Linked DNA regions of Saccharomyces cerevisiae S288C. The protein of the gene in region 3 binds, or shares a complex with, the protein of the main gene of each other region. Each region holds a gene or a part of one and is shown on either strand. Other genes may lie near its edges. The genes, in order: REA1, NSA2 and RSA4. A codon is read from its position in the direction of its gene.

Region 1 (4,896 bases), on a different chromosome or scaffold from region 3:
CTATCATCAAGTTTGGTACATCCTGAACCCAATTTCACGATATTTTAATATTCAGATATTGAAAAGGTGCATTATTATTGTTCGCTTAAATACAGAAAATAGGAAAGCAATACGAAATCATTACTTTTATCATGTTGTTTCTTAACGTAATTACTTAATAAAACTCATGTGAACCGTATGAAATGTAATAACTATATATGTCTGCTCAACTTTGAATATGATCACATTATTTTTCCCACTTGTTTTGACTTGGAGAAATACCTATTTTGACTTTAACAACGTCCATCGTTGCTATTGCATCTTGAGAACTATCATGCTCGCCATTTTGGATTTTTCTACTCAAAACTTCAAACGCTAAGTTCTTCAAAGAAACCTTAAACTTTGTTCTTGAATAAAGTATTGCAGTATCTATAACCTTATTATGAAATAGCCTCATGACGTTCAGATCGTTCTCTAGTCCGTGCCCTATAAGAATACTATTTTTATTTATTAAGTTTTCGGATAAAAAAACATCAAGTGCCTCCTTGTACGTCGGGCAATTGGTTCGGTCAATCTCATGGACACCACTGAAGTCTGAATTCAGATCGACAATATCCCCTATTGGCTGAATTACATGATCAAATAGTGTCTTGCCGGTGAAAAAATCCACAATTGTTAAACGTATCATCTCATAGCCCAATGATGTAAAAGCCATTTCACAGTCAAGAGAAAGAACATTCTCAACACCATCAATGTCATCTGTACTAGAAAACTTCGAAATTTTGCATAACTCGTCATATGATTCTCCTCTAAACACATGGTGAAAAAACGTCTTGCATCCTAGCCTTAGAAAAGAAACGGAATCAGTAGTTTCACCACAGCATGGATACTGATGGTTCTTGGTATCTCTGTTGTATATTCTTTTCAAAGGGTGATACCTACATAGAGTCTTTTCCATGATGTCTGTTTTTTTGAAATTTGAGCTGCAACGCAAACAAGGTGCATACAGTTGCGTACTATTGTCATCATTAGTTTTATTTTGCATTTCCTTAACAATATACCCATTTTTCTCTAAGACCTTCGAATCCAAAATCAGAGCCTTTAAAGCTTCCATCGCTTTTGATTTTGTAGTGATAGAGTTTGCATTACCAATTGAGGATAAATGAGGCTTAGCTCCTTTAAGGGGGCGCCCATTAATTTTGATCTTCGAGAGATCTCCTTTATATTTAAGCACATCCCGCAGTAAAATGCTCATGTTAAACTTGTAACTCTGACCAGACAAGCTGTTTTTAGCAACATGGACTTCTAAGCGAGTGGCAAGTCTTTCAAGGTCAATATTAGTTCCTTTTGTGTGTGCATATGCCTTTTGTAGCTGCTTGAATAATTTCTGCAAAATTTTATATCTTTCTTGGAATCCAAGCGGTTGATTTACCAGATCAACCGGTCTCAACAAACTTCCCATACTAAAGCTTTCTCTTGATATATAGTCAAACTGAATGTATACTGAAACACATATTCAAGGCATTGATTTTAAATGCACTTGAACCGTTATTCCATTTCTTTTTCTACTCATCATTTATTGTCGCCCTTTACGAGGTATTTTTTCTTTTTCGAGTGAAAAATTTTAAAGAAGCGATGAGCTAAGGTCTATTTAGCTTTATGAAAAGAAAACATTATATCACTTACTGCTTTACTTTAGACATTCCTCTCCAAAGTGATTATTTTAAAGATTCAAAGTACCTCTGAGTTAATTTGACATCGAATTCTACTCTTATTATTTTAAGGTACCTCTACTTTACGCGGTCACATTATTTTTAAAACCGTTATAATCTGCTGAGAATGTCCCAGGATAGAATTTTGTTAGATTTAGACGTAGTTAACCAAAGGTTAATTCTCTTCAATTCTGCTTTTCCCTCTGATGCTATTGAAGCGCCCTTCCACTTTAGCAACAAGGAATCAACTTCTGAGAATTTAGACAATTTAGCAGGAACTATACTACATAGCCGTTCCATCACTGGTCATGTTTTCCTTTACAAACATATTTTTTTAGAGATAGTGGCACGTTGGATAAAGGACTCCAAAAAAAAAGATTACGTTCTTGTAATTGAAAAGTTGGCAAGTATAATTACAATATTTCCCGTTGCAATGCCATTAATTGAAGACTATTTAGATAAAGAGAATGATCATTTCATCACTATTCTTCAAAATCCATCCACACAAAAGGATTCCGACATGTTTAAAATACTATTAGCATACTATAGGTTACTATATCACAATAAAGAAGTATTTGCACGCTTCATTCAACCCGACATTTTATACCAACTTGTGGATTTACTCACCAAAGAACAAGAAAATCAGGTTGTTATATTTCTAGCATTAAAGGTTTTATCTTTATACTTAGACATGGGAGAAAAAACATTAAACGATATGCTCGACACTTATATAAAATCACGCGATTCATTGTTGGGCCATTTTGAGGGCGATTCTGGAATTGATTACAGCTTCCTCGAACTGAACGAAGCTAAGAGATGTGCAAATTTCTCTAAACTACCCAGTGTTCCAGAATGTTTCACTATAGAAAAAAAATCTAGCTACTTCATTATTGAGCCTCAGGATTTGAGTACTAAGGTCGCGTCAATCTGTGGCGTTATCGTCCCTAAGGTCCACACTATCCACGACAAAGTATTCTACCCATTAACCTTTGTCCCTACTCATAAAACGGTTTCCTCTCTTCGTCAACTCGGGAGAAAGATTCAAAATTCAACTCCAATAATGCTCATTGGAAAAGCGGGATCCGGTAAAACCTTTTTAATCAATGAGCTAAGTAAATATATGGGTTGCCATGACTCCATTGTGAAAATTCATTTAGGTGAACAAACTGATGCCAAGTTACTGATTGGTACTTATACCTCTGGTGACAAGCCAGGCACGTTTGAATGGAGAGCTGGTGTTCTCGCTACCGCGGTCAAAGAAGGGAGATGGGTACTTATAGAAGACATAGATAAAGCTCCTACAGATGTTTTATCAATACTTTTATCGCTTTTAGAAAAGCGCGAACTAACCATTCCATCCAGAGGAGAGACTGTAAAGGCTGCAAATGGTTTCCAGTTAATATCAACTGTTAGAATAAACGAAGATCATCAGAAGGATAGTTCCAATAAGATCTATAACTTGAATATGATTGGTATGAGAATCTGGAATGTTATTGAATTAGAGGAACCTAGCGAAGAGGATTTGACACACATTTTAGCCCAAAAGTTTCCCATTTTGACCAACCTTATCCCCAAACTAATCGATTCATACAAAAACGTCAAAAGTATTTATATGAACACCAAGTTCATTTCATTGAACAAGGGGGCACACACAAGAGTTGTATCTGTAAGAGATTTAATTAAGCTGTGCGAAAGGTTAGACATCCTATTCAAAAACAATGGCATCAACAAACCTGACCAACTAATCCAGTCTTCTGTCTACGACAGTATTTTCTCCGAAGCCGCCGACTGTTTCGCTGGCGCTATTGGAGAATTCAAAGCTTTGGAACCTATTATACAAGCAATCGGCGAGTCATTAGACATTGCTTCCTCAAGGATTTCGTTATTTTTGACCCAACATGTGCCCACTTTGGAAAACCTTGATGATAGCATTAAAATTGGAAGAGCCGTATTACTTAAGGAAAAGCTAAATATACAAAAAAAATCAATGAACAGCACATTGTTCGCATTTACGAATCATTCTTTAAGACTAATGGAACAGATTTCTGTTTGTATACAGATGACTGAACCTGTTTTACTAGTCGGTGAAACGGGTACCGGGAAAACTACAGTCGTTCAACAACTTGCTAAGATGTTAGCAAAAAAATTAACGGTAATCAATGTTTCACAACAAACAGAAACTGGTGATCTTCTTGGTGGGTACAAACCCGTAAATTCTAAAACAGTTGCAGTTCCTATACAAGAAAATTTTGAAACTCTTTTTAATGCTACATTTTCCTTAAAGAAGAACGAGAAGTTTCACAAGATGCTACATAGGTGCTTCAACAAGAATCAATGGAAGAACGTTGTTAAACTTTGGAACGAAGCGTACAAAATGGCTCAAAGCATATTAAAAATTACAAACACTGAAAATGAAAACGAAAATGCAAAGAAGAAGAAAAGAAGACTCAATACTCATGAAAAAAAATTGTTACTTGACAAATGGGCTGACTTCAATGACTCAGTGAAGAAGTTTGAGGCCCAGTCTAGCTCTATTGAAAACTCGTTTGTCTTCAATTTTGTCGAGGGTTCTTTGGTAAAGACTATCAGGGCTGGGGAGTGGCTATTGCTCGATGAAGTGAATTTAGCAACCGCAGATACCTTAGAAAGTATTTCTGACCTTCTCACCGAGCCTGATTCTCGTAGTATTCTTCTTTCAGAAAAGGGTGACGCTGAGCCTATAAAAGCTCACCCCGATTTTAGAATATTTGCTTGTATGAACCCCGCTACTGATGTTGGTAAAAGAGACTTACCTATGGGTATCAGATCAAGATTTACCGAAATATATGTACATTCTCCGGAACGTGATATTACTGATTTGCTTTCCATAATTGATAAATATATTGGAAAGTACAGCGTCAGCGATGAATGGGTAGGAAATGACATCGCTGAACTTTACCTTGAAGCCAAAAAACTCTCCGATAACAATACTATAGTTGATGGCTCAAACCAAAAACCACACTTTAGTATCCGTACCCTGACGCGTACATTGCTTTATGTTACTGATATTATTCATATCTACGGTCTACGCCGTTCCCTGTATGATGGATTCTGTATGAGTTTTTTGACTTTACTGGACCAAAAATCTGAGGCCATTCTGAAGCCAGTAATAGAAAAATTCACATTGGGGAGGCTAAAAAATGTCAAGTCAATCATGTCACAGACA
Region 2 (3,089 bases), on a different chromosome or scaffold from region 3:
AACGTGAAGTGCTTTTTTTGATGATTACGCAAAGTTCTTTTCAAGTTCGCCATAAGAGGAGGTTTTCCTTTTCAAAAGGAGCATGATACCAATAATTTATATTGCCTTACGCCTCTTATTTTTTATATCCTCTTTTTAGATTTTATTAATTTTTTTTTTTATTTATATACATATAATGTGCCCTGCTTTTTACAACCATACGTTTTTTGTTTTTTAATTTTCTTGCATTTTAAAACTGAATAGTGACCTGGGTATTATACTACAGTTGAAATTGCTCTCGTGAGGTACATACTTGAAACGAGCGTACTAGGCAATCCCTCTCTTGCCAGTCACCTACACACGGAGAGTATCGGTTATTTGTCGTGAGGAAAAAAGAACCGGATAATAAATTCTTGATTTGTTATATTGTACAGAGAATGACGAGAAGTAAAAAGAGAAACCCGAACAGGACAGAGCGTACATTTTTTATATACCTGTTCTTTTGTGCTTGTAGACGTATATCGTATTATTAAATTAAAAGTAAACCTAATTTGAACCATCGAGATAAAAAAAAAAAAAACGGAGCACTTTTTTGCTCATACAAGCAAAACCGCATTGACACAGCCGTCTCTGTCTGGTTCGTTTGTGACCTGAGCATACTTACCCCAGACAACTTTACCACCAGCAGTAACCATCCCCAATTCCGAAACGTTAACTTCAATAATGGTACCTTTAGTCAAAACACCTAACTGAGTGTACATTGGAGATTGTGGATTCTTCTTAACTGCCAAAATTGGCAAGAAGACAGTTACACCTAATTCCGGATGAGTGACGTTTGCCTTTTTCTGTCTCAACGCACTTGGTCTGATGATTCTTTCCATTTTAACTGGTCTTCTAGTGAAACCTTCACCCACAAAAGTGTGTTTCGTTATCATTCTCTTCCATGACTTGGATCTAGATTTACCTGTTTTAATAACTTTGAACATTTCTTCTTCACTTATACCACGAACCTTTGGTAACGGAACTGAAAACTTATCAGCTTTTTCCAACCTCTTTTGTTTGATCGATGAAGAAATAGCTTTGGCTGTGTTATTTTGTTCTCTGTCCAATAGATATGTCGGCAAAGCATCACCATCGGTATCCAATGGTTTGGATGAACCCTTGACCTTAGATTGTTCATGTGCCTTAATCTTCTTTCTCATTGATACCTTTTCAGCATATCTCTTCTTAGCAAATTGCTTACCCTTCCAACCAGTCAACTTCTGGGCCCGTTCAGAAATCTTATGAGACTCTCTTGCCTCTCTCTTACGTTTCCTTTCTTCGTGATCTAATCTTTTACCATGCTGTTTGATGTGACGCTCGATATAATCGTTTTGAGGCATTGTTTCGTTGTATATATCAGTATTGATACGAGACTGACTACTGACTAAAGATAAAAACGCCAGATACGAAAACCAAGTTCTTCTCTAACTGATACCTAATCCATTCAATTGTCTTAAAAGTGCATCTCATCGCTGTCCGGAAAATTTTTCATCGGATTGTTACTAGAACCGTTGCCGACGACATAAAATTTTTTACGCCTTTCCTGCAAGGTTGAAGAAAAGAAACCGATGAGCTATACCATTCTAAAGTGTCAAAAGAGATGAAGAAATTAAAATTGTCAACTAACACACAAATCCAAGAATGTCTGAACTTAATGCATTATTAAAAGATATCAACGGCTCGCTCACTGCGACATCAGAATCCTTGGAGAGGTTGTCTGGGATTTATAGTAATTCTGCGACCGATGAGATTCCTGAAAGTAACCAACTACATGAGCATCTATTTTACGACGCTAAGAAGCCTGCTGAGAAAGTATCGCTGCTATCCTTAAAAAATGGGAGCATGCTAGGGTACATAAATTCTCTATTGATGCTTATAGGCAATAGGCTAGACGACGAGTGCAAAGATCCTTCTGCTATGGATGCACGTGAACGCTCTATTCAACACCGTGTGGTATTAGAGCGTGGTGTTAAACCACTAGAAAAAAAGTTGGCTTACCAATTGGACAAGCTGACTAGAGCATATGTGAAAATGGAAAAGGAATATAAAGACGCTGAGAAGCGTGCACTGGAAAAATCTACCTTAGTGAATCATAGCGGCAACGACGATAGCGAAGATGATGAGTCTAGTGAGGATGAAATAGCATACAGGCCAAATACCTCTGGAATTATCAACACAAATAAAAAATCATCAGCATACAGGGTGGAGGAAACGGCTAAGCAAGAAAACGGGGAAGAAAACGATGACAATGAGACTGGCGTGTATAAACCACCAAAGATTACGGCTGTTCTACCACCGCAACAAACGCATTTTGAAGATAGATTCGATGCCAGAGAACACAAAGATCGTAGTAACAAATCGCGTATGCAAGCCATGGAAGAATATATTAGAGAGTCATCGGACCAACCGGACTGGAGTGCATCTATTGGTGCTGACATTGTGAACCATGGAAGAGGCGGTATCAAATCTTTGAGAGACACAGAGAAGGAACGTAGAGTCACTTCATTCGAAGAAGATAATTTTACCAGATTGAATATTACAAATAAAGCTGAAAAAAGGAAGCAAAAGCAACGAGAAAGAAATGCAAGGATGAACGTTATCGGTGGTGAAGATTTTGGTATATTCAGCTCAAAGAGGAAGCTGGAAGATAGCACTTCGAGACGTGGGGCCAAGAAGACTCGTTCTGCCTGGGATAGAGCTCAAAGGAGACTGTAGATACAAAAAGTTTATTTTCTTATATCCTAAAGCGTTTATAGACTTAATATTTAAAAGTTAAATATAAATGAAGGGCACTGGTATATAAGCTATTAAAAACAAGAATTTTGGCTTTCACGACATTAACGTGTGAGAGGTTTAGGCACCATTGCCTTTATGATTATTAGTCCCTCCAGAATAAACTCTACCTTTTTTTTTCTTTTTTTTTTTTATAGTCCTAAGCAGAACATGACTAAATCGCCATAAATTAACAATATAGTGGGAATAAGGCACACCAGAAGTGCCACGATATAGTATATATACAATGATAAATGAGTACGTTGCCAGAAAGGTCGCTCTAAAGGACATGCAAC
Region 3 (3,943 bases):
ATAGAGAAACGTTGTTCACTCAATTCAATTGAATCCTCCCTACAAAAAATCAATAAGGCATATTACAAACTTACTTATACAGTATTGAACAACTACAAAGGAATTCTAGGTAGCTTTATGAAGCAATGTCCGGGAAATGAGTTGTTAAATTCGATATTCATGTTTGGAAGGGATTTTGGAAGAAGTTTCCTTAAATATAACGCCTTTAGCTCAAAGAGGAAGTACGTTATCATCTTTCTGATGGTTAAATTAGGAATGAACTGGTTGAAATTCCTTGTTGAAGAGTGTGATCCTACCGATCAGCGAACTTTCCGATGGTGCGTTCTTGCAATGGATTTTGCGATGCAGATGACTAGTGGTTATAATATCCTGGCGCTGAATGTAAAGCAATTTCAAGAACTGAAGGAGAGGGTATCAGTATGTATGTCATTATTAATTTCACATTTCGACGTTATGGGTGCACGAGCCACTGAAGCTGAAAATGGCATGCAACAGGCAAGATTGAATATTGATACTGAAGAGAATATTGATGAAGAGGCCACCCTAGAAATAAACAGCAGGTTGAGACTGGAAGCTATAAAGACGTTGGAAAAGACTATGAAGAGGAATCCCAGGCAAATGGGTAAGGTATTGGATGCTACAGATCAGGGAAACAAATACCTACTATCGCTAGCATCCTCATTATCGAATGTATCAATGAGGTGGCAAAAAAGAAGCTTCATTGGCGGTGGAACATTTGGACAGGTATACTCTGCAATTAATCTGGAAAACGGTGAAATCTTAGCTGTTAAGGAAATAAAGATACACGATACCACAACAATGAAGAAGATTTTTCCCCTGATTAAAGAAGAGATGACCGTATTGGAAATGTTAAACCATCCTAATATTGTCCAGTACTATGGTGTCGAAGTACATCGCGATAAAGTTAACATCTTCATGGAATACTGTGAGGGTGGTTCTTTAGCCTCGTTATTGGATCATGGAAGAATTGAAGATGAAATGGTAACACAAGTGTACACATTCGAACTATTAGAAGGTTTGGCATATTTGCACCAATCTGGCGTGGTGCATCGCGACATTAAACCGGAGAATATCTTGCTGGATTTCAATGGAATCATAAAATATGTGGATTTTGGTACGGCACGTACCGTTGTAGGATCTAGGACTAGAACTGTGCGGAACGCAGCCGTTCAAGATTTTGGAGTAGAAACAAAGTCCCTCAATGAAATGATGGGGACACCGATGTATATGGCTCCAGAGACTATTTCAGGCTCGGCAGTTAAGGGAAAACTTGGAGCGGACGATGTATGGGCATTAGGATGTGTTGTGCTAGAAATGGCCACAGGTAGACGACCTTGGTCTAACTTGGATAATGAATGGGCCATCATGTACCACGTTGCTGCAGGTCGAATACCGCAACTACCCAATAGAGACGAAATGACTGCAGCGGGAAGAGCCTTCTTGGAAAGGTGTTTGGTTCAAGACCCCACTATGAGGGCTACTGCTGTGGAACTACTGATAGACCCTTGGATGATACAAATCCGTGAAATAGCATTTGGCAACTCAGAGAAAGATCAAGTACCTATCCTAAGCTCATAGAGTGGTCAACGTCTAAAAATATGATATACTACGATATATAATGTAATGTAATTCAATAATGGTGATGAAGGCAAGATTTCATTTAGAGCTGTTACCCGAGAAACCGGTGAAAAATTTTAAAATGAAAAAAAAAAAAAAAATGCGATGAGCTTCAAAAAGAGTATCTTTAAAAGACATATATCACAAGATTTTTATATTTGTAACCTCGATAAACACACACTAACACAATATACAGATGTCCACCCTGATTCCTCCACCTTCTAAGAAACAAAAGAAAGAGGCTCAACTTCCCAGAGAAGTAGCTATTATTCCGAAAGATTTACCCAATGTTTCAATCAAGTTCCAAGCTTTAGATACTGGTGACAATGTAGGTGGCGCCCTGAGAGTTCCCGGTGCTATCTCCGAGAAACAGTTAGAAGAACTTTTAAATCAATTGAACGGTACTTCAGACGATCCAGTGCCATATACCTTCAGCTGTACAATTCAAGGTAAGAAGGCCAGTGACCCTGTGAAGACGATTGATATAACAGATAACCTATATTCTTCATTAATAAAACCAGGCTATAACAGTACAGAAGATCAGATCACGCTACTGTATACGCCAAGAGCAGTTTTCAAAGTCAAGCCGGTAACTAGAAGTTCATCAGCCATTGCAGGTCACGGTTCCACAATTTTGTGTTCTGCCTTCGCACCACATACGAGTTCTAGGATGGTAACCGGTGCAGGTGATAATACTGCAAGGATTTGGGACTGTGACACCCAAACGCCAATGCATACTCTAAAGGGTCACTACAATTGGGTTCTCTGCGTTTCCTGGTCCCCCGATGGAGAAGTAATTGCTACGGGATCCATGGACAATACCATAAGATTATGGGACCCAAAAAGCGGTCAGTGTCTAGGTGATGCTCTCAGAGGTCATTCCAAGTGGATCACTTCTTTAAGTTGGGAACCTATACATCTTGTGAAGCCGGGCTCCAAACCAAGATTAGCTTCATCTTCTAAGGATGGTACTATTAAGATTTGGGACACTGTGAGCAGAGTTTGCCAGTATACGATGAGTGGTCACACAAATTCAGTGTCTTGTGTCAAATGGGGCGGCCAAGGTCTATTGTATAGTGGCTCTCACGATAGAACCGTACGTGTATGGGACATCAATTCGCAGGGCAGATGTATCAACATTTTGAAGTCGCATGCGCACTGGGTTAATCACTTATCTTTATCTACAGATTACGCATTGCGCATTGGTGCATTCGATCATACAGGTAAGAAGCCTTCTACACCAGAAGAAGCCCAGAAAAAGGCATTGGAAAATTATGAAAAAATCTGTAAAAAGAATGGAAATTCAGAAGAAATGATGGTTACTGCAAGCGATGATTATACCATGTTTTTATGGAACCCACTAAAATCTACCAAGCCTATAGCAAGAATGACCGGTCACCAAAAATTAGTCAATCATGTGGCGTTCAGCCCTGATGGTAGGTATATTGTCTCAGCGTCTTTTGATAACTCTATCAAACTTTGGGACGGTAGAGATGGTAAGTTTATCTCCACATTTAGAGGGCATGTAGCCAGCGTATACCAGGTTGCGTGGTCATCGGACTGCCGACTACTGGTGTCATGTTCCAAAGATACCACGTTGAAAGTGTGGGATGTAAGAACTAGAAAACTTTCTGTTGACCTCCCTGGTCATAAAGACGAAGTTTATACCGTCGACTGGAGTGTCGACGGTAAAAGAGTGTGTAGTGGTGGGAAAGACAAGATGGTAAGATTGTGGACGCATTGAGTTATGTGCAAAGACAAGTAACATACATGCACATATAAATATTATATAACTGTGATATAGAACTGCATTTTTTTCTTTTTGAATATTAAATATGATGGTGTCGCAAGGTCGATCTATAATGGTCATCGCGTACGAATGGCTTGGTATGAATTTAAAATATGGTACTATAAGCAGTATAGCTCCAGCAAGAAGGAAAACCTTTTGAAAGAAGTGCCCGTTTACCTAAAGCAACTTACTCCAAGGTAGCGTGTGAGCAAAACTATGATCAGTTCGTGTGTTACTAGATGTTTTGGTAGGGGTAAATGCCTTCCAGGGCCTGCCACTGCCTCGATATACCAAACGATAAGATGTATATCCACTAATTCAAATAAAGCTGCTGAGGCGCCAATATTTCCAAAGCTGGAAGACGTGAAGATGCATGAGCTCATAGGAAACAACAATTTTGGTAAAAAGACCTACTACGTGGAGAGAAGCAGGACCGGAAATCTACCGGTGTATTCCGCTTATAAAAATGGAGGTAACAAGATTATCACGGAGATCAGAAAGATTGAAGGAGATGTA

Evidence for each region.
Region 1: the proteins of RSA4 (region 3) and REA1 are in contact, whole or in part, in a cryo-EM structure (PDB 6YLF), measured with the Saccharomyces cerevisiae proteins. Residues at the interface, in NP_009997.2 of Saccharomyces cerevisiae: Leu29 (codon at 1,919), Pro30 (codon at 1,922), Asn31 (codon at 1,925), Ala48 (codon at 1,976), Leu49 (codon at 1,979), Arg50 (codon at 1,982), Val51 (codon at 1,985), Pro52 (codon at 1,988), Pro108 (codon at 2,156); in NP_013207.1 of Saccharomyces cerevisiae: Glu4778, Thr4779, Cys4817, Glu4818, Asp4853, Met4854, Ser4855, Gln4856, Val4857.
Region 2: the proteins of RSA4 (region 3) and NSA2 are in contact, whole or in part, in a crystal structure (PDB 4WJV), measured with the Saccharomyces cerevisiae proteins. Residues at the interface, in NP_009997.2 of Saccharomyces cerevisiae: Ser144 (codon at 2,264), Thr145 (codon at 2,267), Leu147 (codon at 2,273), Gly164 (codon at 2,324), Trp188 (codon at 2,396), Leu190 (codon at 2,402), Trp231 (codon at 2,525), Ile232 (codon at 2,528), Thr233 (codon at 2,531), Lys256 (codon at 2,600), Trp322 (codon at 2,798), Asn324 (codon at 2,804), Asp379 (codon at 2,969), Leu404 (codon at 3,044), Asn406 (codon at 3,050), Phe422 (codon at 3,098), Tyr448 (codon at 3,176), Gln449 (codon at 3,179), Tyr490 (codon at 3,302), Lys506 (codon at 3,350); in NP_011052.1 of Saccharomyces cerevisiae: Asp85 (codon at 1,109), Ala86 (codon at 1,106), Leu87 (codon at 1,103), Pro88 (codon at 1,100), Thr89 (codon at 1,097), Tyr90 (codon at 1,094), Leu91 (codon at 1,091), Leu92 (codon at 1,088), Asp93 (codon at 1,085), Arg94 (codon at 1,082).

What each region holds. Positions count from the first base shown.
Region 1 is NC_001144.5:360,661-365,556, reverse strand, and holds the start of REA1 (AAA family ATPase midasin), read left to right. Parts: upstream 1-1,818; coding exon 1,819-4,896. Other genes in the region: REX3 (RNA exonuclease), read right to left, coding at 227-1,441. UniProt on the Saccharomyces cerevisiae protein: Nuclear chaperone required for maturation and nuclear export of pre-60S ribosome subunits.
Region 2 is NC_001137.3:412,819-415,907, forward strand, and holds NSA2 (rRNA-processing protein NSA2), read right to left. Parts: upstream 1,362-3,089; coding exon 576-1,361; downstream 1-575. Other genes in the region: small subunit rRNA maturation protein LCP5, read left to right, coding at 1,663-2,736; VFA1 (Vfa1p), read left to right, coding at 3,041-3,089. UniProt on the Saccharomyces cerevisiae protein: Involved in the biogenesis of the 60S ribosomal subunit. May play a part in the quality control of pre-60S particles. Under normal, rapid growth conditions, high levels of NSA2 would allow the progression of pre-60S particles through the ITS2 processing.
Region 3 is NC_001135.5:240,244-244,186, reverse strand, and holds RSA4 (Rsa4p), read left to right. Parts: upstream 1-1,834; coding exon 1,835-3,382; downstream 3,383-3,943. Other genes in the region: mitogen-activated protein kinase kinase kinase SSK22, read left to right, coding at 1-1,599; mitochondrial 54S ribosomal protein mL49 IMG2, read left to right, coding at 3,644-3,943. UniProt on the Saccharomyces cerevisiae protein: Involved in ribosome biogenesis. Required for processing and efficient intra-nuclear transport of pre-60S ribosomal subunits.